Nothobranchius furzeri: one gene and its partners. The protein of the gene in region 3 purifies or fractionates together with the protein of the main gene of each other region. This does not show direct contact. Links are inferred from orthologs where the notes say so. Each region holds a gene or a part of one and is shown on either strand. Other genes may lie near its edges.

What was found.
Region 1: the proteins of pabpc4 (region 3) and g3bp1 purify together in Homo sapiens (affinity purification with mass spectrometry; 4 studies listed by BioGRID and IntAct, with this or other methods). This does not show direct contact. The link is inferred for Nothobranchius furzeri from reciprocal best matches to the Homo sapiens genes PABPC4 and G3BP1.
Region 2: the proteins of pabpc4 (region 3) and larp1 purify together in Homo sapiens (affinity purification with mass spectrometry; 3 studies listed by BioGRID and IntAct, with this or other methods). This does not show direct contact. The link is inferred for Nothobranchius furzeri from reciprocal best matches to the Homo sapiens genes PABPC4 and LARP1.
Region 4: the proteins of pabpc4 (region 3) and mkrn1 purify together in Homo sapiens (affinity purification with mass spectrometry; 3 studies listed by BioGRID and IntAct, with this or other methods). This does not show direct contact. The link is inferred for Nothobranchius furzeri from reciprocal best matches to the Homo sapiens genes PABPC4 and MKRN1.
Region 5: the proteins of pabpc4 (region 3) and paip1 purify together in Homo sapiens (co-immunoprecipitation; 3 studies listed by BioGRID and IntAct, with this or other methods). This does not show direct contact. The link is inferred for Nothobranchius furzeri from reciprocal best matches to the Homo sapiens genes PABPC4 and PAIP1.

Annotation. Positions count from the first base shown.
Region 1 is NC_091741.1:69,278,540-69,283,946, reverse strand, and holds part of g3bp1 (ras GTPase-activating protein-binding protein 1), read left to right. Parts: intron 1-837; coding exon 838-1,011; intron 1,012-1,081; coding exon 1,082-1,172; intron 1,173-4,540; coding exon 4,541-4,625; intron 4,626-4,823; coding exon 4,824-5,073; intron 5,074-5,157; coding exon 5,158-5,259; intron 5,260-5,407. UniProt on the Homo sapiens protein: Protein involved in various processes, such as stress granule formation and innate immunity. Plays an essential role in stress granule formation.
Region 2 is NC_091750.1:54,243,808-54,249,214, reverse strand, and holds the end of larp1 (la-related protein 1), read right to left. Parts: intron 5,138-5,407; coding exon 4,993-5,137; intron 4,912-4,992; coding exon 4,737-4,911; intron 4,666-4,736; coding exon 4,499-4,665; intron 4,411-4,498; coding exon 4,315-4,410; intron 4,195-4,314; coding exon 3,868-4,194; intron 3,109-3,867; coding exon 2,985-3,108; intron 2,600-2,984; coding exon 2,394-2,599; intron 2,316-2,393; coding exon 2,209-2,315; intron 2,119-2,208; coding exon 1,961-2,118; intron 1,879-1,960; coding exon 1,734-1,878; intron 1,658-1,733; coding exon 1,548-1,657; intron 1,447-1,547; coding exon 1,319-1,446; intron 1,247-1,318; coding exon 1,043-1,246; 3' UTR 813-1,042; downstream 1-812. UniProt on the Homo sapiens protein: RNA-binding protein that regulates the translation of specific target mRNA species downstream of the mTORC1 complex, in function of growth signals and nutrient availability.
Region 3 is NC_091758.1:35,793,249-35,798,376, reverse strand, and holds the end of pabpc4 (polyadenylate-binding protein 4), read right to left. Parts: coding exon 5,037-5,128; intron 4,963-5,036; coding exon 4,867-4,962; intron 4,793-4,866; coding exon 4,523-4,792; intron 4,287-4,522; coding exon 4,196-4,286; intron 4,107-4,195; coding exon 4,008-4,106; intron 1,958-4,007; coding exon 1,827-1,957; intron 1,749-1,826; coding exon 1,658-1,748; intron 1,578-1,657; coding exon 1,447-1,577; intron 1,375-1,446; coding exon 1,276-1,374; 3' UTR 1,271-1,275; intron 1,201-1,270; 3' UTR 912-1,200; downstream 1-911.
Region 4 is NC_091741.1:64,131,351-64,135,903, reverse strand, and holds the end of mkrn1 (probable E3 ubiquitin-protein ligase makorin-1), read right to left. Parts: intron 4,427-4,553; coding exon 4,203-4,426; intron 3,937-4,202; coding exon 3,722-3,936; intron 3,343-3,721; coding exon 3,232-3,342; intron 2,095-3,231; coding exon 1,950-2,094; intron 1,799-1,949; coding exon 1,586-1,798; 3' UTR 1,275-1,585; downstream 1-1,274. UniProt on the Homo sapiens protein: E3 ubiquitin ligase catalyzing the covalent attachment of ubiquitin moieties onto substrate proteins. These substrates include FILIP1, p53/TP53, CDKN1A and TERT.
Region 5 is NC_091757.1:56,189,755-56,195,161, reverse strand, and holds part of paip1 (polyadenylate-binding protein-interacting protein 1), read right to left. Parts: intron 4,284-5,407; coding exon 4,147-4,283; intron 4,035-4,146; coding exon 3,837-4,034; intron 3,735-3,836; coding exon 3,622-3,734; intron 3,514-3,621; coding exon 3,402-3,513; intron 2,250-3,401; coding exon 2,124-2,249; intron 2,024-2,123; coding exon 1,917-2,023; intron 1-1,916. UniProt on the Homo sapiens protein: Acts as a coactivator in the regulation of translation initiation of poly(A)-containing mRNAs. Its stimulatory activity on translation is mediated via its action on PABPC1. Competes with PAIP2 for binding to PABPC1.

The DNA.
Region 1 (5,407 bases), on a different chromosome or scaffold from region 3:
TCACCCAGTTAGAGGCATTTTCCAGCGGCAATACTTGGTGCAACTCGGGAGGGTTCGGTTTGGTCTGATTGCTTTTGTCCAACGGCGCGTTTTGGTATTTTTCCCCTGCTTTCCCTCTACTTTTCAGTCCCTCTGTTTTGGTTCCAAGAGCTGAACCGGTATTTCGACTGTCGGCCACTGATTGGCTAGGGGGCGGAGTCACTGGTTGCTCCAGAGCCTTCTGTCTGCTGTCTGAAACCATAAAACTGAAGAGTGTTCAACATCACCTTTATTTTTGTGCAGAGTTGTTTCTGTGGAGCATGCAGGTCACCTCACAGTGTGTACTGATGACCTTGTGCTATTTTTGTCGCGTAAAGATCCCTGCACAAGCAAATGCTGTGGTCCCCCCCATCCGCTATGAGGGGTGCACCCACTTTTTGTCTCTGAGCAGGCAAGGAAAGCCAAGTACTCTGTGGTGAGCCGAGTTAACCCACGCTGCACTGAGCTGTTTTAGCCTGAGTAGTGCTGTTGGAAAAGGCCTGTTAGGTGTGTCTCATAGTCTCATGAATCTAGAATGTGAAATATTCATGAATATATTTTCTTTTCAAGAGTCATTGTTACACACTTGTTTTTTTCTTCCAGAAACTAAGTTTTCTAGGTAGTTTAACATTCTGATGAATGTTTATCAGTACTTTCTGATTTATTAATCCTCACGTAAATTGTTTTATTCTAATGCTTGTTAAAATAACCATTATCGCTCTTGTCATGTAGTTGGATAATTGAGAAATGATTGATTGCTGTTAAATGCCCAAATTAAATCTTCAGTTCGTTAAATCTTTTGAATTTTTTTTTTATCAGGAGATCCATAAAAGAGTGATGGCTTTGAGTTTCCGAGACTGCCACACTAAGATCAGACATGTGGACGCTCACGCTACTCTGAACGAAGGCGTGGTGGTGCAGGTGATGGGCGAGCTGTCTAATAACATGCAGCCCATGAGGAAGTTCATGCAGACCTTCGTTCTGGCACCAGAGGTTGGTATTAGATTATTAATATATTTTTTTCATTGATCTGATCAGTTTATTCACATGCATGTTTTTCCAGGGTACGGTGGCAAATAAATTCTACGTCCACAACGACGTGTTTCGTTACCAAGACGAGGTGTTTGGTGACTCTGACTCTGAGCCTCCAGAAGGTGAGAAACTGTTTTGTTTTATGACCTAAACATTTTTCTCTCTGAAATTGGTGTAATGTAGCAAGTTTAAAAGAGGTTTAAAAAACATTTTTTTAATATTTCTGTTCATAATCGGTCACTTTGGGTTTTTCAAGCAGGCTGAACATGAAAATAGTCTCCTACACCAATCTGCTGCATTAGCTTCTGACGGTGAAGCTCTAGGGTTAGAAAGTCCTTGACGTATCTGCGTCACACTGTCACTTGGCATTCATGGACTCCCTTCCAGTTTTCAATCCAGCGATCACATGTAGTTCAAGCAGAGCAAGAAACCAAAGAGGAAGAACTTTCATGCCAAAGCACAAAGGCAAAACGTGGAGCATTGTATCTTGTAAGTCCCTAAACAGCAATGGTAATTAAGATGGTTAATGGACAGTGTCAACCTTCTTTTATGTTTATAAAAACGTAACATTTAAAGCTAATATGAATATTTAGAATGGACTTTGGTGAGATTTGTTAATGACAAAGGTCAAGTTTGTGAACACAGAATTTGATAGTAAACAAGTAAAAATATTGCACACTCTGCCTTTAACATCCACCATTTTCCATTTTTTGAGATCTATAGAAACTGTATATTGATGGTTTACTGGAGCAGATTATTTGTAACAATGGTTAAACTGGTCCATGGGGATGGGTCTAAGGTAGAGAAATAATCCCTCTAAAACATTCATTTAAAATCAGTTTATTATTCCATTGATCAGGGTATCCGCGGCGTCTTAAAAGTCATGAATTTGATGAAAGGAAAATTAAGACCCTTAAATGTCTTAAATCGATTTAGTGAAGTCTTAAATTTGGTTGCTAACTTGAAAAAAATGTTGGCGAAAATTGCCGTTTATGAAACCAAATGCGTTCATGGGAATGAAAGACTTTTTGTTTTAGGGAAGGTGAGTCTGATCGGGTTTCAGTCGCTCTTTATAAGAATCTGTTTCAGAAAAATGAGGAGTGTTCATCTTCTTCACAAACCCATCTTTGTTAGTGGGTCACGAGTCGCCATTTGACCAATCACAGTCATTGACTACGTTTACATGCAGCCAATATCCGGGTTATGATCGGGTTAAGATAGGTATTCGGGTTTCTGAGTTGATCAGAATAACCCGTTTACAAGCATAAATAGAAAGAGTTACCCCTAACTTGCATAACCCGATTTAAATGCGGACATTGGGGTAGCATCAGGACGTATGGACTACGTCAAGACGCAATATCCGTCATTTCCGGTTCATTCTTTTCGGTTACCTTCTTGTATATTTCGCTGTCTCTGTACTTTTGGCCGTCAACAAAAGACAATGTTCATACTTTTCACCAGACCGATGAAGACAGAGGTTTCCTCATCACTCCAAAAGTGTGGTGCTGTGCCGCGACTCGCCATGTTGCTCCCAACTTGTTGTTTACCTCCGGTGTTCTGGCGCATACAAGATGTGTCGCTACTCAAAAGACCAAGATTCCTTGCGAACAGAGCATGCGCAGAACACACACTTTGATGGGGATATCCCGGTATGCGTTTACACGACCAAACATTCGGGTTAGAAAAGGGTTACCCCAGGTATAGTAACTGGGTTTTATAAAACCCGGTTATGAGCATGTCCAGGTTTTTGGCAGTGTTTACATGGACCTGCGGAACCGGGTTATTGTGAATATTCGGGTTTTTAAAGGGTTACTGGCTGCATGTAAACGCACTCACAGAGACAGCTAGGGAAAAACACAGCGGTAGCCGGTACCACGGCGCCGCTACTACTGTCGCTTCAACATCTGGCAGCGGCTGGGGCTTAAAGTTCGTACAATCATCAAAATCCCCTCCCAGATACCAGTTTTCTGTCCAGAACTTTTAGCAGGTTTGTCTCCTTGCAGTTTCAGCCTTCACTGATGTTTCCTGAGGCTTGTGTTCTTATTTTTTGGGAGGGGGAGGAGTTGAGTTCAAGTGTTGGTCAGAAACTGCTTTCCCAGGAATTAGACAGGTCCATCCTAACCTAAAGAAGATTCTGACAGACAAGCTGCTGCAATTGTTTTTTCAGATTTGTACAAGCTAAACCCTTTAGGCACGCCTTCCCTACATGTTATATAAGAGATTTGAAATCAAGAAGAAGAAAAACTTGCAAAACAGTATGGATCTGTTCTCAGTGAGATGTTTTTAGTGGAAAATGAACATAAATAGATCTAAAGATGTTACTGGTACTTTTACTATCATTCTGTTGTGGAAAGTCAGCACAAATATTCAGTGAAAACTTTAAAAAGCTGCTTAAACCTTCATTATTTTATAGTGGGCCTTTCTATATTTATAAAATCAGTTGATTGTTTAAAGTAACTGTAACTAAAGTTACTCAGAGCCACAGCAGAAGGTCCAGTCTGAGTTAAGCTGTGGTAGCTGCAGAGAAACTGAGAAACAACATTAAAGCTTTTGCTATTTGCTTGTTCAAGTTTAATTCAAATCGAACAAATAAGTCATCAATTATATATTATTTCTATGTATATTTAACAGTCATGCTGGAGATAAAAGGCAGAATAGATTAACATTTTAACTTTATCTGGTTACATTGAAGCTTCATGTCCCACAGTGAGCAGTCTGTCCCACATGTGGGGAGTTGGGATCTGGTCATCCTACTGAAGAATGATTACAGTAATTTGGAATATTTTCAGATGTTTTTATGTTTGGTGTTTTGTGAATTAGTTTCATAATAATAGTTAATTATTATATGATGATCCCTAATCATTATCTGATCAGTTCTGTTAGCTTATTATATTTAGCTTTCATGATTCGTAGGACTGGTAGAAAGTTGCTTGCATTTTGCAAAAACATCACATAAAAAATATATATATTTTTTAAATGTTCTCAATAAAATAAAAGTATATAAATGTCAGAGGTCACTACAAAACCCACTGTAGAATAGATGCACACCTGCAGCACGTGAGGACCTTGTTTGGGGGAGTTATTTTGTCACTTTTTTCACAGCCTTGGAGTTTGCGGGTATGAAAAATAGATGCATGTAAACTAAAAATAAATATATTTTGTTCGTCTATGCGTGCGGTTTGCATTTTTGTACCATGGGGCTTTCCATATTATTGCTACAGCCTCGCTGTCCCGGGTGGGACGTAACCCAACATGAAGTGGAAAACGAAGCGATGCAGTATTTAAAAACAATATATAAGTGTTTAACAGTTGATTAGTTCTTTGCGATAGACTTAATTTTATTTTTTACAAGGTCTTAAAAAGTCTTGAAAAGGTCTTAAGTTTAATTTTGAGATTCCTGCCTATACCCTGATAGATATGAATCCAGTTTTTTTTTCTTTAGTTGTACATTGCGTTGTTCATGAAATAGTTTTTACTGTTTTATTTTCAGAGTCTGAGGATGAGGAACCGGAGAGGGTCCCCTCACCTGACATCGCCCCCGAAGACTCCGCCCCCTTCTACGACCCAACCCCTTGGTACGGCTTTAACACCTTTTCAGAAGTTTACCGTTGTGTTTTCTACTAAAGTGCTTTAGCTTGATATTGCAGGCATTGTTGCCAAGTGCTAAAGAAAACTAAACAATTTAAGTTTTAATACTATTTAATGTAACTAATTATTACTACCTTGTCAGAGTTAGAAATGCTGTTGTTTTGACAAAACGGACCTGGTTACAGTTCAGACCCAGTGGCTCAAGGTGATGAGGAGGAAGCAGCTGCTGTGAGTCCAGAACCAGAACAGGAGACTGAGAAGGAGGTTGAGGCTGTTGAAGAGGAGCTCACGGCTGATGTGATGCAGGAGACTCGGACAGAAACGCACACAGCTGATGATCAGACAGAGAAAAGCTCCACCACCCCAGTCCCTCCAACTACAGAACCTTCCTCTGCACCTGCAGAACCTGCCCCCGCTGCCCCAGAAGAGAACAGGGTAGGTCTGAATACCTCAACAGCCTTTTAGCAAATTCAACCAGGAGCTCAAAGCAGTTGTTCTTCCATCTGGTCTTCCTAACAGCCTTTCTCCTGGGCATCGGTCACCAGTAAGAACCTCCCTCCCAGTGGGGCTGTCCCAGTCTCAGGAATCCCTCCTCACGTTAAAGTCGCTCCCACCGCTCAGGTAAGTTTTATTTTTATTTTACTTTCACCTTGATTTCACTTAAGTTTTCAGCCATTAAAAGATCATTAGATTTTTTCTTATTTATTTGTAGAAGAGGAAAAACTTCTCAATTGTTTCCAGATCCAAACTGTTAAATAGTCTCAGTATA
Region 2 (5,407 bases), on a different chromosome or scaffold from region 3:
TTCACACCTGTAACCGATGTGAGAAACAGGAAGCAACAAGGTCCAATACCAGCGTCTGTTCTCCTCACAATCATCTAGTAGTCCAGAGTGAGGATTTCAGTCCTGCAGCGGTGTTGATGCTCGACTGATGGATGGATGGATAAACAGATGAATGCAACATGTCTGACAGATGTGGGAAGAGAAGCACCCAAAAGGAAGTCGTCGTCAAGTCCCACTTCCTTTTTTTATTTTATTTTGAAGGGTCGTAGAGGAACGGTGATGAACTTCCATCAGCTTTCAGCACACAAAGCTACAAGTCGTCACAATAACAGATCAAAGGACACGTGGAAGACAGTTCACAGACAAAGATGAAAGGAAGCGGAGGACAATTTGGCAGACAAAACGCCACCCAGTGGCCTCAGGTGGAAACCGATGAGACAAATGGTGATTTTGATGCTGTTCAATCGACAGAACGGTGGCGGGCACAAGTTGGAAGCAGTAAAACCATCAAAATAAGGCAACTTTCAATAATCTGTCCAAAGTGAGGGGTTGAAACAAGTCACTTATTCTTTCATAGTTCCCCCTCGGTATCCAGCCATAAAGGAAATCAAATATTTCTCTGTTTGAGCCCCGGGTCTGGAGAGGTCGGTCGCCCAGTTGAAACCACTTTGGTCCGGCTGAACGTCGGGAGCAGCTCAGCTTCCAGATCAGTCCGGTTCAACCACCTCCTGCTAAAGAATTCTGAAACACGACGTCTGAGGAGGAATCCAAATCTTTCAGCCAGCAGGAGATCAGAGAGCGAGGGGGAGGGAGGGGGAGTCGACTTAGCAGGAAATAAAAGTCTCGGACCGCTCAAGATGTGTTTTTTTTATTCCCTCACGATTTATTTGTCTAATTAAGGTTCTAAATTACTCCAAAGGATCTAATAAAACTTGAGAAGGTGGCTTTTGTTTTCATCAGATGCAGAGCTGGAGGCTCCTCCCCCTCCGGTGGCGCAGAAAGAACCGGTGATTTGAAGACGTGGTGCAGTCGATCCAAATGGGCCAGCGCATCGGTGCAGCAGTTATTTCAGAGCTTTGGCGTCCGGTGTGGGATCAGCGCTGTGGGCGGGGGCTTTCTGGGAGGGGGGTTTGGCAACATCCTTAGAGGCAGGGGCGGAGCCTCCGCTCGCCTGGCTGTGAGGTCGGCTGGAGGACTGGGAGGGATGGCGACGGCGACCGTCCCCACTGGACGCGTGTCTTTTCCGGCCTCCTTCCTCCATCGGTGGCTGGAAACAACAATAATTATCAGTATCAGAATTTATTTCACCTTTAATCTGGATTAAAACAAAAACTCTTACATCTATTCTGAAATCCTCCAGTCGTTTAAACTTGCTCAGGTGCTCCTGGAGTTTCGGGTCGATCTCCAAAGTCTTGGCTTTGGAGTATTTGAGGAAAGCCCAGAACTTCTCCAGTCCATAAAGCTGACCTGAGATCAGCAGACACAAACACAGTTTTATATACTTTCACCAACAAACGCTCGTTTAGGAGGCCTAAACTGTCAGAATGATCCGCTTCATGTTTCCTCACCGGCTTCGTAGTCTTTGACGGTTTCCTCCTGGAAGTCCTTAAAGATGTCTGGTCTGAACTTCTTCTCCAGACCGTAGCTGTAGTACCTGAACAAGCACTCTAAACCGTACCTGTCGCCCACAAACACACGAGGAATCAATTTCAATCAGAATTTAGAAACACAAGTTCTCAAAGCCGTCACCTCACCTGTAACCTTCTTTCCCGTCCTCCACCACCAGCTGTCTGAACTCCTCGTACATCTTCCTGTTGAAGTGATCCCGCAAGAAAAACGACCAGAAGCGGAAGAGCGTGTTCATCTCCTGCGATTGGCCGATTCCAAGCCGCTTCCGCTCTGTGATTGGTGGAGAGCAGAGATGGGGTTACTCACAATGAAGGATTACTCCTGTAGAATAAACCGTGAGGAGGCGACGTACCGTTGAGGCAGCGCCGCCGGTACTTGTGGTAAACGTGTTGCGTGAAGCCGTTTTCCTTGAGCAGCTCGTGCGACGGGTGCTGGAACTTGGGGAGGGACTGGGGGGTGCAGCCGATGTTGCTAAGGGCGGGGGTGCCCTCTGACGGGCTGGCGTTAGAGCTGGGAGGGAGGCACAAGGAGCAAGAGTTCAGTTAGATCCGAGACTGGGAGGAAAACATCAGCGGCAGCATCAGCACATGGACGTCCCACCTGACGGAGGCGGTGCGGGAGCGATGTTCTCTCGAGTCCATCACCCAGCCAACATGACACTCCAGCGGCGGGTTTGAGCTGTGCCGGGTCTTCCTCTTTCTGGGCGTCTGAAACAAACCCAACAAGCGTTTATCGTTCCTGTCAGTCTATAAGACCTCTCGCTTTACCAAACCGCTTCCCCTCACCTTGGCGTCAACCGGACGACTTTCCTTCACCACCGGGTAGAAGCGTGGCGTCATGGTTGGGTCTTTTCGGTGAGGGGTGCGAGGCGTGCGGGGCGTCCGGGCACTGCGGTAGTTGGGTGACTCGGGCACTGTGGTGGGGAGCGAGCGGGCTGTAGACGAGGGTTCGGGGGCTCCAAAGAGTTTGTTGGCTAGAGCGTCTGTAGGAACTGAAGACGACGCAGAAGGAAAAGTCAGGAGTTAAATCTCTAAAACCGCCGGCTCATTCTATTACAACCGTCTGAGTTTCACATTTCAACGTGTTTAGAGACGGAAAACAAATGAAACAATCCCGTTTTTATCCACTAGATCATAATAGACTCAACTCAGCCATCTGACCTCAGAAAAGAAACATTCCAAGTTTTTACTCACCTTCATAAAGGAAAACCATCGACTCTAAAACAGTCTGACTAATCGTTTCTTCTTGCCCAACAGTAGTTGGGTTGTCTTTATTAATATCAACATTTGAAGTTTAATCTTTTCCATGTTGCACCATCAGGTAGATGAAGCTGGATTAAAGCGGCTTTAGGTTTACACAAACACGCGTGTCCTTACTCTGTTGGGGCCGCGGCGGCCCGGGGGGGACCTCCTGGTTGGGGTCAACGGGAGGTTCTGGTGTCAGACAGTCGAACTCCTCACGGCTGATCAGGTGGACCTTCTTGAAGTTCTCCACCTCTTGCTGTAAAAAGAAATTTGAGAAAAGTTATTGTGATTTTCATCAGAGCAAACTGCTGGGATTGTCGGTAACTAGAACAGAAACTAACGTAGAACTGGTTTAAACCAGAAAAGCTTTCGCATGAACACTGTGAAATGATCAGACCTCATCTGCAGCAGTCTGGAGACCGAGACGCAGCAGCAAAGCACAGCAGCCAGAAACACCCTCTTCACCTTCATATCTGACACGAACTGTTCCCACACACACACACACACACACACACACACACACACGCACACAGCTTCTACTTCTACTCAGAAACCCACAGACACACACAGCCCTTTATCTAAAGCTCAGGGTAAGGACAGCTCCCAGGTGGTTTCTCTCCCTGATCCTGATCAGATGTGACTCACAGCGACGGGTAAACTCCGAGTCTCTTCCATTTTCTTCCTCCTCGACCCGGCGGCTCCGATCCCCAGGCCGAGACCTTCCATGTGGGGTTTATTTATAAACAAACTGCCTTTGTTCCGCGCAGCGCTGGATGAGTGCCGGTGAACACGTGAAGGTACCACAATGCAACAAAAAGGCAGCGAGGACAACAAAACTAAACAAAAACTACTTTGTGTTTCCATTCCACATCCAGAAACAGCTCCAGCTGCCACTGAATGCATCTCCTCGTCCTCCAGTTTCGTGCAGAAATGTCTCCAAAACGTGAGACAGAAACCGCCAGAGCATGCCCAGCACCTGCTGTTCTGGTGATGTCATCAAAGAGTGCAACCTCACCTTGATGGTGGCGTACTCGGGCTCGAAGTTGTCTTCCCACAGGTCCTGCTCGTAGTAGAAGAGCCCGTCGTTGATGACTTTGGCCAGCTCGCTGGTCAGCTTGGCGCGCGATGTGTGCTGACCGGTGCGGTCGCCCCCCGGATGTTTTCTCAGGTAGGGCGGCGTCTGCGTCACAATCAGGATCTTGTTGATGTCGTTGTCGTCCAGCTCACCGTCCGTCTCCTCGTCCGACCAGTCGGTGAAGGTGTTGCGGCGTCCGTCTATCTGCTCCATCTCCTCATCGAACATGAAGTCCAGCTCCTCGGGTTCGTCCTGCTCTGCTCCGTCCTAATCAGACAACATAACACCACATCATCGTACAATCAGTAGACATGCATCTGTAAACAAAAATAACAAAACGCCTCAAACCGTTGGATCAGAAGAGGGGAAAATGATTTCCTCACTCACCTTATTTCCTGAGACGACAGGGGATGGAGAGGAGCCGGGCCGAGGAACCAGAGACCGAAGAGATTCGTCCTTTTCTTTCTGCTGCAACACAGGGACCTGATGTGAGTCGCACAATAACGGTGGAGGTGAACCAAACACAACAAGATAATCTTCTGCTAAGTTTTCAAAGGTTTTCGGAGCTCACCTTCGGTCTGGCTGGAGAGGGTCTGGGCCTCTTCTTCACCTCGATCCAGGACTCGGAGTCCAGATCAGGGAGACTGGCGGAGAGGCCCTTGGGCATGGTCTTGAGGTTGGAGATATCTGGTTCAGTCTTGGTCAGTTGTTGAACTGGCGTGGAGGCTCTGGGAGACCCTGGAGAAGAGACGAAACCCCAGGTTGGTTTGATGTTTTAGAAACATGAAATCCCAACGAACCTTCCTCACCTCTGCGCTCTTCAGACATCTGTCTGGGAACAAACTCGGGGCAGTTGATGAGCTGGGAGAAGTCGGTGTGCGTGTGGTTGGGCATCATCAGACCAGGAAGAGGCCACTTCTCTGGGTCTTCCTTCCGCCGGATCTTCATGTCGATGATTTCCACCTCTTTGCTGCCCTTTAAAGCCTGGCAGCAGATAATCAATGTTCAGCTTCCAAACGCGTTTCTTTTTACTGTTCTATAAAAACAAACTCCAGCTCCGCTAACCTCGATGATGAGGTTGACGTCTGTAGTGAGCGCCTGAACTCTGTGGAAACTGGCGATGAGTCCGATGGGCAGGAAGCCCTCCTGATCCATCTTCCTCCGCAGGAAAAAGTCCCGCTCCAGATTGTCCAGACTGAAATAATACTCTCTACAGGGGTGAGAAGCGGGGTATTCAGAGGGAATTTGATGCACAATGAAACAAAACGAGGAATTTGTGGATGAATTTAGAATTTATCACATTAGAAACCAGGACAAGATCAGGTTTCAGCTCCAGATAAGACTAGTTTTACTTAAAGAGCAAGTCACCCCCTAGCAGCCACTCCCATTTCCTGTTTGAAAAATGCGCCACAGGGAGTTGTTTCCGGGCAGATCCAGATGGCAGAGCTGCTAACAAATAAACACACACAGGCTCAGTGGC
Region 3 (5,128 bases):
CTTTGACCCGGCCGTTGATTGGTCGAATCTAGCATATGCCGCTTCCGGGATTTACTTCACTCTGCCGACCTCTAGTGGTCAAAAAGTTTCTCCACCCAAAGTATCATGACTGAACATCGTTATTTTCAGCTTCAGGTTAAATAATAGTTTAATTCTGTAAGTCAGCGTGAAGAAATGAACAAAATTCTACACGTTAATTGTGTAATTTCAAATAAATTTTGTTTGGGCCTTTTGGCCTACCATATTTTCAGATTTCATGACCAAAAACAAATGATTTATTGTTATATGTGCAGGAACTGTGTTTCCCGGCACATTACGTACCTGCCAAAAAACAATCAGGTGTAAAAATAGATACGAATAAAACTAACATTCAAAATGCAATAAAAAAGCTAAATATAAACCATTAAAACGGTATAAAATATAAACAAAACATGCAACAAATGAAATAAATGAAATGGTTGCCAAAATTTGGGTTGGGACCCCTCTGCGGGATGCAAAATGTAACATTGTGGTCAAGAAATCCTTGGATCAAACAAAAATAATTTTATAAATTGCATTTAAGTATTTTTAAGTGGTAAATTATAAATCGTTGCAGTGTTCCATTTTATTTAACTTTTAGCACTGCTCCTGTTGTTTAGTCAGCAACATCTGATTAAACATTGAAGTCAAATTAACTGATATTTATAGATAAAAGTTAATCAGCATTCATCGTTTACTCGTCCTTTATGCATTGGTTGAATCAGTCATTGTTTTTGTCAGAAAGTCAATTTAGCGAATCAAAGCTTAAAATTATTGCCTCATTTGTAAGAATCTTTCCCCCCACCCTGATCCAGAGTAGACTAATGAAGTGGTATAGTGTCTGATGCTCACAAACATCTTTTCATGTAGCATTTAAAACACAGAGACTGGGAATCAATCCATCAAGCCTTTATTGAAAATACCGCACAACCATGAAAATGTCACATGAAGGCAAATGTGAAGTTTTCAAGCAGTTTAGAACAAAGATGTTTTTCTCCTTTGCAGCAAAGTAGAGCAAATGCTATTATTTCTGTTTGCATATTATAGATATGAAGGAACTAAAAATGTTTCCACTGTGACATGTTTCTAAAGTACTTCCTGTTTTCAATTGTTGCACATTTAATGGACTCGGGTGTTTGGAGTCCCTGTAGTGATGTTCATCTCTGCCCAGTTTACTCCACCCTGAAACAACACAATCACCTGATTAGCAATAAAAAATGGTGTTTTATCTAATAAGCAACAGAGAGCGTACAGTTTTCAGGATGTTGCAGCAGCAGCAGTGGTCATGCCGCCAGCTTTCTGCGTGGCTTCTTTCTTCGCCTGGTGGGCCTGCAGCACAGCAACGGCCTCCTCCACCTGAACAAGAACGACGCTAATCAACCAAAAGGAGATGCTTCAGGAGTCAAAATGGCGAGGTCAATGAGCTACCTTTGAACGGAGAGATTCGTGTGACTCCAGCATGTGCAGCAGCTCTGAGTTGTCGATCTCCAGCAGCATGCCTGTGATCTTTCCAGCCAGGTTGGCGTGCATGCTCTGAATCAGTGGAAACAAACGTTCTCCTGTATAAAAGAAGTAGTTATAAATCAGTCTAGTGATCAAAACATCATTCCAGCTCTTGTATTTTAAAGTTGAGTTTAACCTAGCATCTGTTTCTGCTCCTGAGGAGGTGCAGCAGCCAGCATGGAGGCCGTGAGAGGCTCCTGGCCCTGAACGTGCACAGCTGGCTGAGCCTGGATGGGACAGATAGGATCCCTCAGAGAATATTTACAGAAATGGGTGTTTTACAAGACAGGACAGTAAAATAATACCTGCTGTAAGGCAATAGGTTGCACCACTTGGGGGTTGGGGTTACGGACACCGGTGGCGTATTTGTAAGGAGGCATGGCCCGGGGACCGGAGACTCCCATGGATGGACGAGGAGCCATGCCCTGGTTTGCTGCTGTCAGTGAACACAAGAAATAAAGCTGTGAACATGAGCTTTGGGGGGATGCAGGAAAAATAGTTCAAGTTTTAGCTTCAAGTGGAGGAGTTTAAGTATCTCGGGGTCTTGTTCACGAGTGAGGGAAAGCTGGAGCGTGAGAATGATAGGTGGATTCGTGCTGCGTCTGCAGTGATGCAGTCGTTGTGCCGATCTGTAGTGGTAAAGAGAGAGCTGAGCCGGAAGGCAAAGCTCTCGATTTACCGGCCGATCTACATTCCTACCCTCACCTGTGGTCACAAGCTTTGAAGAGTGACCGAAAGAATGAGATCGCGTATAAAAGCGGCCAAAATGAGTTTTCTCCGCAGGGTGCCTGGGCTCTCCCTTAGAGATAGGGTGAGAAGCTCGGTCATCCGGGAGGGGCTTGGAGTAGATCCGCTGCTCCTCCACGTCAAGAGGAGCCAGTTGAGGTGGCTCGGGCATCTGGTCAGGATGCCTCCTGGACACCTCCGTGGTGAGGTTTTCAGGGCACTTCCAAGCTTCCAGCAGAGCCCAGGGATCCAGACCCCACCAGGCAGCCACTGGGATTGGTCAGGCAGATGCCAAAAATCTTAAACTCCCTGACCCGGGAGCCATGACCCAGGCAGACCAAGGCACTGCACTCCACACCAGGTGTGGCAGAGAGAGGGGAGATGAAGATCTATATCATCAAAAGAAGTCCCAGGAGAGGGGAGGAGTCAAAGGCCCCACCTGACATATACAGTCATACACAAACACAGTCACACACTCCCTCCCTCATGCTCACACATGCACACCCTATTCACTCTGGTCCCAGTACTGCTGCACATGGGGTACAACCATTACCGGTTCCAAGAGTTCGACCCTTTCTGCTGGGGGTGCTGATGAGCAGGCTCCCCCGCCCAACGTTGAGCACAGCAACCCACCACCCCAGACCCCAACTGGACGGCCGGATCGCCCTCCTAGCCTCCAGCCCCAGGAAGCCAAGCGACAACAGAGGTGTGCTAAGACCCCTAGTCTCCCTCCGCCTGCTCCAATATGGTGTTAGTGAGTGTTGATGAGGTGTATTCCATGGCTGTGGTGAGCGGGCAGTGCGGGCATCGTCTGGCCTATGCCAGCTGATGCCACCACACCACCACACCACCCCACTTGCACCCACAGCCCTCAGTGTTTAAGTGCAGTTTAAAATTGGAAGTGGGCACCGGCACTTGGGATGAGGCTGAGAAATCCCCCTGCCAAATGCCGTTGAATGTGCTCACTCCCAAGGCCCTAAGTGTGTGTTTGCGTGGAATGTTGTTGGTGGAAGTGCAAATAAAATTGGGGGGTAGGTTGCCACAGGAATGCGGAAATGGGGTCCATACCCATACCCCCTGACTTGTCCACCCCCCAAGGTCCTATGTGCATGACTGTGTGATGATGTGAGGGAGCAGGAGGAGAGAAATGTGTGGGGATGGGGAGGAATGGCTGGCTGGGCTTAGCCCTCCAGGGAGCCAGCTCCCCCACTGGCCCCAATAGGCACCTCTGTTGTCAAAATGCCACCCAGAGCATGGAGACCCCAGCCCATCCTGCCAGCAACACCACAGAGCCTCACGGAGTCCGAGGGCACCAACCCAGCCCCACTCCAGCAGAATATCTATGCCCATCCCTGCATTTGCACAACTTTCGGATTATAAAAGACATAGGACATCCAGGTAAGGTTGGGTCCTCCACCTCCTGGACTTCCCCCTTCTCTGTGATGGGACAGCAGAGGAGCCAAGGTCTACCCGAGGGCCCTGAGCCCGAGTCAGGCACTGCTGCATGTTCCTGCCTTCTCCCCGGCAGCATACATGTCAGGACCTGACCCCCAAGGCCCTGCCCAGATCGCCCCATGGGGCCGGCCGCCCCCACACCCCAAGCCCCCAGGCCCCCACCCAGACCCGTCCAGGGGCAATGCAGCTGCAGGGCAGTGACCCATGGCCACCGCCAAGATGTCCAAGGGGCCCCACTCACAACCGCCAGTAGTCCACCCCCCGAGGCCGAGAGAGCCGAGATTATTTTTCAATCTCAAACACACCTCTTGGGCCCTGAGAGCCACCGCCGGGACTCATGTGTCTTAGGTTGGCACGGGGTCCAGGCTGACGCAGCTGGGAGCTGGGCATTCCCTGGAAACCACCTGAAAGTGACGAAACTCCCATCAAATTCAATATTTACGCATTTTAAAAGTGCCGTTGGCAGATGCAACACCAGGAATGATGTTCTCACCTTGACCTCTGCCACCTTGTTGCTGCCACCTGGGGTTGGGTCGCATTTGGGCCAGCTGGTTCGGAGCATAGTATGTCGTCCTATTTTGGGCCTAAAGGGAACAAAAAGTGACAAATAAATAACCGGGATGATAACAAACATATGAAAACCTCTGATTAGCCTCTCATTAAAATGAATTAAACTAGGTACCCCAGCTTTAAAGTGTTTTTGACTATCACGTTACGACCCAAACATTTAGACCATCACATTTCCTGTTTAACATGCCATTCCCCAAAAAAGCAAGGTAATGTTGATATTTGATCATTAGTCGGATTTGAAATCCCACACCTGTGGCACAGCTGGCATGAAGTAGCCACTGGTAGGCTGGAACTGGCTAATGATGGCGTTAGCGGGCATGGCCCTCATGCCAGCGATGCGCTGCATGTACTGGTTGGTGAGGTGGGCTTTGCGCTCCTCTTTGCGCTGAGCGAGAGCCACGTAGAGCGGTTTGGAGCCAACGATGCGTCCGTTCATCTCCGTGACCGCCTTGGTGGCCTCCTCGGGTGAAGAGAAGCAGACAAAGCCAAAACCCTTCGAACGACCTTCTTCTAGCATCACCTAGAAAACAAAGGAAAGTAAATGACACTCATGTTTTATTTTATAGTTTAATTCGTTGACGATATTTTTCTCACCTTAGCGCTTGTAATGGACCCAAAGGGAGAGAACTCCTTACGTAGTTTCTCATCATCGATGGTGTCATCCAGATTCTTGATGTAAAGGTTAACTCCCTGAGAAAAAATCTGAATATTATTCTTTGATGGTTAGATTGAAAACAGGTCTGTTTGGACTGATTCCTGCACACCTGGTAGCGACTGATTCTCTCCTGTTTCAGCTGCTCAAACCTCCTTTTCAGCTCCGCCTGACGCTCCATTTTCTTCTGAGCCCTCCCCACAA
Region 4 (4,553 bases), on a different chromosome or scaffold from region 3:
AAAATTACACTTTATTTAAATTAACTCAGATTTTGTTAAGAGGCTTATTTTTGCCCAAGGTCATCTTGCTGTCAGAACCTCTAACCGGCCCAACCCGGATATTTGGGATCGAATCATGTAGAACCTGGATCTAGGGTTCATACAAGCAGGACTCTGGAGGTACGTGACCTGAACCCAGAACAGGAGCTGGATTGGACCTGACCTAGTTATGCAACGATATGACATTTTTGGGCCGATATTAATGTCACCGTTATGGCCGATAACAGATAAACTGTCATTAATGCTTCCAAAATCAGCCGATTTTGTATAAAATGAACATTATTAAAGCTGAATTTACAGTTTGTACACACAAAACACACATTTACACTTCTGAGATGATTTCATTCACTGTGACTAGTCACATGACTAAACCAATACACATCACCCCCTCACCCTCTGAAACAGGCAAACAAATGGAAGCAAGATGGAAAAAAATATCGGTTGTTAATATAGGCCCGGTTTTATCTATCGGACTGATATTTTTAAAAATGACTAACATCGGCCGATACCGATATTGATGCCGATATATTGTCCATCCCTAATTGGACCCTAATCTGAAGACATGTTTTGGTCTAGAGGATCTTGGACAGTAAAGGTTCAACTGAACAGAAGTGGGATCCACTCAGTATTCACAACAGATAAACATGAGAAGGTTCTGTCAAGATGTCCGCTATGCATGGAGGCAGGGTCCACAGCCCTGAAGCTATAGGGCCCTGATGCCAAGGTGGCAAACCCAAGACCACAAAACCATGATGCCAGAGCCCTCACATTAGAGCCCTTAAACCAGGGGCCAATATCAGGTTCCCAAGCCAACAAGGTTCTTAGCTAGGGGCCCAAAGCACGGGTTCCCATTCCAACAACCTTGTTGCTGATGACACCAGACCATTCGCACCTCCTGGGAGGTTCACGGCTGACTTGGTCCTGTGTTCCATGTTTTCGTCTCCCTGCCTGAATAGAATTAAAATCCACAGGAAGTCCCACCCCCCAGCAATTCTGTTGTGAATGTTCTGAGATACACAGGACCCAAATCTGAGTCCAAGTCTGGTTCTGGATCATGCCTGCTAACATGTCAGTGTTGCAGCTTCCTGTCTCTTTATTGTTCTGAGCACATTTAGATCACCATAAATCAGACAGTCCATGCTCACCGTATAAACCCTACCCTGCAGAAGCAGCACAGATGTCCTGGACCGGGTTCCGGTCTGTGAGCTACAGTAACGGTGCGGCAGAACAACCCACAAACTTCACAATGTTTATTAGCAACATCTTAACAAGTTCATTGTAGGTCAACTCTTATCAACATAAACACGAGAGACTCACAAGGACGAGGTCTAGAAAGGGTTTAGCACGAGTGCACTGCGGTGGAGGTGGGGTCCTTTAGCTTTTAGAAGTTCATTTAATAATGGCCTGCTTAAAGGCACTGCCACAATACATGAGAGGGGGGAGGGGCAGGGCTACTGTCCATCACTCACACAACACAGTTCACTCTATTGTCTACTGTATAATGTTATATATTTATATATATTTATATACTGGAGGAGGGAGGGGGCTATAGGTAGATCTCGTAGAAGTCATCCAGCTCCTCGTGAAACAAGTCCCACTCGTCCTCCGAGTCTGTCACCTCGTCGTCGGTTCCTGCTGCCAGCAGCATCAGGAGCATCTCGCTCAGCTCAAAAGTCACCATCTCCTCATCATCGTTATCAAAGGAGTCGGTGCTGCCCCGCTCGTCCAGGATGTCCCACAGAGGGGTTCGTCTGGAGCTCTGAAACAAACACACACGCACACACAATGATTCAGTGTTTCTAGGCAAGAACTGTCTACCTGCGGCCCACCAGGGGGTGCTGTAATGCTATTAATGGCAGAGCATCACTATGTTCCACCACTACAATCAGAGTGGTTCTGGAGCTCTTTACCCGGTTCCTGTTGTTGGATCCAGGCTGTCTGCGCTGTGGCTGAGCCTCCTCCAGCCGGCCGTCAGGGAAGGCATGTTTGTAGAAGCAGTTAGACCCAAAAGGACAGGTTCCACGGCCTTCATCAAAGTATCGACAGGGCTTAGTGCTGGACACACAGACCACACAGCAGGTAAGACTCATGTCATTGTTCAGGTCCGGACTGGACTCAAACTGGTCTGGACCCATCACAGACACAAGCAGCCAGGTTCTCTGAGAAGTACTACAGTGCAGACTAGAAACACAAAGCTGATCAGGTCCTGGTTTATAGACCGGTTCACCTAACACAGACCACAGAAGCACCCAGATCTCTGATGAACCACATTTAAAATTTTATTCTGACATATTTTATCAACTTGGTTTTCTGTCTCTTTATTCAACGTCTGAAGTAAATAAACAGTCTCTACATGTTTGAGTCTCTTCACCTGAGCAGGAGTCATTTGGCCAACAGTTAGCGTTAGCTATCAGGAGACACTGCTACAGATTTATTAACCAGGTCTGATATCAGACACAGCAGAGTTGTTGTGTTGATAAGTTCTGAAGATGACAGCTGAGTTTAGATGATGTCATTTTTCTGTCTCATTTCTATACCTGCAGATTGTTAGGAACATGGTGATCTAGCCACACTCAAACAGATCCTCCTCTGTGATACCCGAAACTCACGACTAAGTTGGACTACAAAGTGAGATTAGTTTAGCTTAGCTTAGGCAGTCCCCAGGTTCTGTCCACAGAACTCTAAAACATGTGGAACCAGAATGAGCCGGACACGTTCCTGAATGGAACCTTATCAGATAACTGAACTAAGGGGACAGCGGCCAGGAGGAACCGGGCAGAACCATCTGGTGGGTCCCATTTTTATAAAGTCTTTGGTATGACCCGACCGGGATTTGAACTCCGATCTCACTAGGCAGGTGAAGGCGGAAGCCAACACAGCGTGCCTAACACACCCCTAGCTGACAGCCAGATAGAATGGAACACCCAAAGCCAAGTCCAGAGCATCTGGTGTGAACCACCACAACCTGCTTGTGGTCTAAACCTTCAGAACCAACTGATCTGTTGTTGGATCAGAAGATTCAACGGCTCAAATGATATTTATGGTTTTAAAATTATTTACAATCAACAACTTTAAACATTTAAAAATGTCTTAAGTAAAATACTTAGTGAAAACATGCGGTTTATTGGATACTCTATTTTTCTAAATTTTCTAAAGAGAAGGAGGAGTTCAGACAGGTTTCTATGGGCCTACCCCATGCCGTCCTTGTACTTCTGGATGAGTTTCATCTTGTCCTCCTTGTCCTCCACCCAGTACTCACTGGGAATGACAAAATTGGATGTGATGCGACACTCTGGACAAGACCTACGAACACAAAGGGAATATGTGGTGAGAGAAGTCGTCTGTCCAGAGTGGACCTGCTCAGGTTCTGTCTTCTTTGACACCTTCAGATAGGTCGCCCACATCTCCACCCTTTAGTGGTTCCAGTCTCCTGGATTTTCTAGAAGATGTGGTGTTTTGATGGAGCTTTGTCGAGTTTTAGCCAAACTGAAGTAGCTGTAGAAGCTAAGGTGCAGCGCTTACTGGGACCACTTCTTACTGGTAAGCTGGCTCATGACCTGCCTGTAACACTCAACTGTTTGCATCAGCTCTGTGGTCCAGGTGCTGGTCTTTGGATGGACTGAATAAATGTGTCACGTCATAAAGCATTTCAAGCTGTATGGTGGGAGGAAGTTGGACTTACTTGATTATTTTGCTCTCAAACTGCTTGGCACTCCTCCACTTGCGGATGCACTTTAGACAGTAACAGTGGCTGCAGTTGGACAGGATACCGAAACGACGCTCACTTGGGTTGGACTTCTCAAACACCACCTCCATGCACACGCCGCACATCATGTCCTTACTGCGCTGGATGGCAAAGGAGATCTCCATGTCTTTCTCATGGGCTTCGATACACGCCTACAAGTACAAAAGAGTTCCTGTCAGCAGATGTTTGTACGCTGCCATGTTTTACAGCTGGAAACTGGAATAAACAGGATTATGGATTTTACCACGACTCACATCAATCCAGATTATAATCTCATTTTACTACAACTGAACTGAGTTTACTGTAAATGTATGGCCTAAATCACTCTGGGGTGATGCTGGGTGTGAACTGGTGTTTTATAAATAAACAGAAGTTAATCAAACAGAATGAAAGCGCTGAAACGGTTGAAGCTCGTTACCTTTGTGTGCTCTGAGCGCTGGGCGTTGTCAGAGGGATGGAGGACCTGGAGGCCACACATGTCACATACGTCACCGTGGAGATAGGCACAGTTGATCCCATAGCGACACTCTCCAACAGCGGCATATGGACAGAGTTGCTTCTTTAAGTCTTTGTTGTCTTGGGATGAACTGCTGTCCAACTCCTCAATGACGGGGACAGAACTCTCCGGCTTCACCGGCTCAGCTGCACACAAAACAATAACAATAAAAACTCTAACTGGAAAGGTTTGACTGCCTCAGCCACAAGGAAAACTGCATTTCCTGTCTCTGATTCATGTCTCCCATATCCTTCAGGTGTCCCTCAGGGAAGT
Region 5 (5,407 bases), on a different chromosome or scaffold from region 3:
ACCACACGGGGGGGGGACCTGGTGAATGACCTGCAGAGAGCTGGGACCACAGTAACAAAGGTCACCATCAGTAACACACTACAACGGCAGGGAATCAAATCCTGCAGTGCCAGACGTGTTCCGCTGCTGAAGCCAGTGCATGTCCAGGCCCGTCTGAAGTTTGCCAGAGAGCACATGGATGATACAGCAGAGGATTGGGAGAATGTCATGTGGTCAGATGAAACCAAAGTAAAACTTTTTGGTATAAACTCAACTCGTCGTGTTTGGAGGAAGAAGAATACTGAGTTGCATCCCAAGAACACCATACCTACTGTGAAGCATGGGGGCGGGAACATCATGCTTTGGGGCTGTTTTTCTGCTAAGGGGACAGGACGACTGATCCGTGTTAAGGACAGAATGAATGGGGCCATGTATCATGAGATTCTGAGCCAAAACCTCCTTCCATCAGTGAGAGCTCTGAAGATGAAACGTGGCTGGGTCTTCCAACACGACAATGATCCCAAACACACCGCCCGGGCAACAAAGGAGTGGCTCCATAAGAAGCATTTGAAAGTCCTGGAGTGGCCTAGCCAGTCTCCAGACCTCAACCCCATAGAAAATCTGTGGAGGGAGTTGAAAGTCCGTGTTGCTCGGCGACGGCCCCAAAACATCACTGCTCTCGAGAAGATCTGCATGGAGGAATGGGCCAAAATACCAGCTACTGTGTGTGCAAACCTGGTAAAGACCTATAGTAGTCGTTTGACCTCTGTTATTGCCAACAAAGGTTATGTTACAAAGTATTGAGTTGAATTGTTATTATTGACCAAATATTTATTTTCCACCCTGATTTACAAATAAATTCTTTAAAAATCCTGCCATGTGAATTCATGGATTTTTTTTCACATTCTGTCTCTCACAGTTGAAGTGTACCTATGATGTAAATTACTGACCTCTGTCATCATTTTAAGTGGGAGAACTTGCACAATCGGTGGCTGACTAAATACCTTTTTGCCCCACTGTAAGTGATGTTCTGTGCAGAAATTTATTAGACATAAAAAATGCTGCTTGTTCATAGATGACCAGGCTGGTGCAACAAACCTGAGCATTAGCTGCATGTAAGCTAAAGCCGGGCGTACATTGTGCGACTTCTTCACTTTTTTGAGCCGATTTTCCACTCGTACAAGAATCCAGAAGATCCGGGCGAGTTTTGCGCCGAGCGGTCGTGTAGTGTACAGGGGGTTACGAGAGGCGATTAACACCACGTGACCAGCTACAGATCAGCAATCGTGAGGTCGCACGGACTTCTGGTGTTTGATATTTCGCTCGTCCCTCGTGAGGGTATCGCACTGTTGAAGCAGCGCTGCGAGCAGCTGCGACCCAAAAAGTATCAGAACCGCTCACGGCGCTTGCGCAGTCCTGCATCAACGCCGCTCGCTCGCCATTTCCCTAATAACACACGCTGTTTGTTTTTATTTCTACACGTTTGTTTACTCACAAAGATCGTCAAGAAAGCGTGTTTGTCGTGTTCATGTCAAATTAAACTGATCACAAAACACAGATTTACTTTCTTTATTTCGTTTTCCTCATCCAACCCCCATAAATCCCTGTGTGTCCTCCTGCAGCACTCCCGAAGGACAACAGGCAAAACAAGACAAAAAAGTCTGACGTGTTGAGTAAAAACTGCTATTTTTAGCATATTTTTAGGGCCGACGTGTTGCTACCAGACGTACAGTGTGAGCAGTCAGGTCGCATCCGAGAACTGGGTCGTGCAGTGTGAGCACATGACTCGTGAGATCTGCCCTGCGAGGAAGTCGTACAGTTCGAGCTGAAGCTGAGTGCTACGAGTGAAAAAGTCGCACAGTGTCCACCCGGCTTTACAGGATAGGATCAAAGATCAGAAACAGCTTGGACTGACAGCTGGACACAGTGACACACACCTGCTGCAGGTAGCATCCAGAAGAACCGTTTCAATTCTTTGGATTAGTTTGTCCATATATGGTTTCCCCCCCTTTTTCCACGCATCATCCAAGACAGACCCAGTCAGCTGTAAACACAAAACACTCTGAGCTCCTCCTTAAATGTGAGCCGTGGCAGTAAAATCCCTGCAGAAACGATTCTAAACACGTCTGAGAGAATTTCGACACCTTGAGCAGTTTTACGGCGCAGATGAGATTCGCATCCACGGACACAGAAAGCAGACTGTCCAGCAGGTCCTTCAGAGCCGTGAGGAGGACGTCTGCTCGGTTTGGAGGTCCTTTGCTGCTTTTTATCTAGATTAAAGTAAAAAGCAGGTATTATAGTGGTGCAGCACACAAACACATGCGGGCAAAGTTCGTCTAGGTTTACAGATTAAAACATCTGGATTACAGATATTTTGAGAAAATCACTCATCTTTTAAACTAGACTCACTTAGCTTTTTATTAATGAGCGTGCACATAATAAAATACCAATTATTTGAAAAATAAAACCAAAAACTTTATTTTATTCACACTTTTTAACTCATTCACTGCCAGCCGTTTCCTGATCGCTAACGGCCTTCGCTGCCAGCGTTTCTCACCGTTTTTACTGTTTTTTTAAGAGTCACAGAACGTTGCGCGCTAGCATGATGTCGACGCCAAAACAACCTAAACAAGGAGGAGACTCACCTCTTACATCAGGAAGAAGCCGCGTGTTTCGAGCGTTATCCGTTCTTTCATAATCCGTTGTCGAATTGTGATCGGCAGACGCTTTTCCGGTTCGCGCCTCACTTTTTTTACAGGAACGGCCCAAAACGATCTCCAAACACATGGATGGTCTGCTTCCTGATCATGTGATCTGTGACGTATGCGGATGAAGATCGGCTTCAGGGCTGAGATGTTTGTTCTCTCAGCGCGGGGGCTCGTTCTGATGCTCAAACAGTAAAAAAAATGCAAATGACGACTTTAGTCGTCAATGGCAGTGAATGAGTTAATAAACTGTCTTATTTCAGGAAGATTTGACTCCACATTTGACACATTTTAAGGATATAAACAAAACCTGCCGGCACTCAAACCAGTTTCCTACCGTACACATTTGGTGCATTTTGCAATAAAAATCCAACAAAACGACTGAAACTGGGAGTTTAAGAAAAAAAAGTGCAAAAAATAGTTTGATGCAACTAAACAATAATACAAATTATTTAAATTTTTTACCATGCTGTAGTTCTTTTTTTAAACACAGAGCAGTTTTGTTTACCTGTTTTCCCGCAGATACGACACAGCAAGAACACACCTAAGATGTTTAATTTTATTTATTTTTTTTAAAATGCAGTAATACTTTTTACACTGACAGTTTATATTCTTTTGCCAAATTCTTCCAAATAAAAATGAGATCAGGTGCATTTTTACATGAGAAAGTCTGTTTAAAAAGAGAATTTTACATGCAAACGATAAATAACGTTTTACCTCCAGGTGCAGGTAGAGCTCCCCCAGAAACAACACAAAGGAGTGGAACTTCTTCTGGATATCTGGCTCTCCTCCAACAACTGCATCCCTTTTCCCATACTCCGTGTGACATCTACAACAGACAACAATCCCATCTTAACCAATCCATTTTCATTTGTAAAATATTCTAAAGTCGATTTAGGAAAATGCCACAAGTAACACATCTCGTCCTTTCGATTACCGTTGCAGGAGCAGCTGACGGAAGCTGCCACTTGGTGAGGTGTAGGTGAGGTGATGGGAAAGGTAGTTGCAGAGTCTGGCCCCGGTGTAGGAGAAGTTAGGGATAGAAGTGGACTGCAATGACGACACAAAAGTTTCAGCTTCCCCACAATATGGGTTTACTCTATTTGATCAATTTAAATGTGAATTTCTAAAAAACGACAACTGTTACCAAACCTGTGTGAAGATCAGTTCCACCAGCTCCTTCAGCAGCTCCTCAGTGATAACACAGGAATTGAGAATACTAGCTATGTGCTCCACGTCAACCTCAAAGGAGCCCGGGGAGGAGCTCAGGTGACCGAGAAACTCTGTGACCATTTCAGCCAATGAGAAGTCGGGGAAATAGCTTTCACTGTCATCATAATAAGCGGGTTGCTATAAAGAATAGAAAAAGGGAAATGCACATGAAAAATGTCATTAGCAGAGACTTTGAGGTGATATAAAATTGTGTAACTGGGTTGAGCACTGATGTGACAACCCATCTTACTTCATTTGCGCTCGATCCAAAGGGAACAAACTCTGGAGCATTCGCCGACAGCGTTGATGACTTGACCAAGAAATCAGCCGAATTACGTCCTCCAGACAGAGACGCATAGTTGAAGCTCACGCTTTGTTGGGAATAGCCTTGTTTGACAACCAGAAAGTAAAGAAAAAAAAAAAACAAGTATTCAGGCTTGTTATGACGAACATAAATACTTTAAAATGCTTTTTATCTGCTCTGACAAAGACAACAAGTGTTCCTAAACTAAACCCTAGGTACCGGGAATTAGTGCCGAATCGATTCAAATGTCAAAGGTGCCCATCCCTGTCATATAAGGATGCTTTATATATATATATATATATATATATATATATATATATATATACATGTTCTAAATAAAAGAGACAGATTATTATGCTGCAGCCGCCATTGTTGACCCCACCCCCTCCGCAAGACCAGAACTTCCAACATCACAACACTTGGTCTGACTGAGCGCTTCCAGGAGAAATAACAATTAAATTATGAAAATAATAATGAGTGTTTGGAGGAGCATCCTCCGATCGTCTCTCTTGTGTGAGCAGTGTCCCTCTCTCTCTCAGTCGCTGATCGAGCGAGCGGAGCGCGCCGCATGACAACCTGCTCAGTTAACATAATTCACGGCCCAAATCCAACAGAACCGGTCGGGCTGATTTGGTTCCGGTTCGGTCTCAGGTTACAACTCCAGCGCTCAGCCCTGCAGTACCACATTAAGGCGGAACCACTTGGTAAATGTGGAGGACGCTCACTCTGACAGATTTGGATGGTGCGCTGGTGCCGCCGTTAAAAAAACAAAACTACATTCCACTATAATCGATTATGGCGTACTCTTCTACGATGCAGAATCGTTTATGTCCGCATCCCGATGCATCGATTATTTTCCTCAGCTCTAATGTGCGTAACGAATAAAATGCCAGTTCGTCTGCATGCGTCGGGGTAATTCTTTCTCCATCAAAATAAACGGTCAAATACGGGAACTATCCGGTCAACACAACACAAGCCCTGCTTTTGACTGTTTTGTTTTCTTGTGAAAATTGTTGGAAAGAGATAAAATTTAACTTGATCACCACCAGAGCCAGTGCACCGTTATCTCTGTGACGGTAAATGGGGGAAAAACAAATTGATCGGATCCTGCACGTCTTTTAACACATTGGTCAGGATTGACGCACTTTGTTTTCATTTAGTTGGTTAAAAAAAATTGGGCTTGAGTCGGGCCAGAGACTCCTGAAAA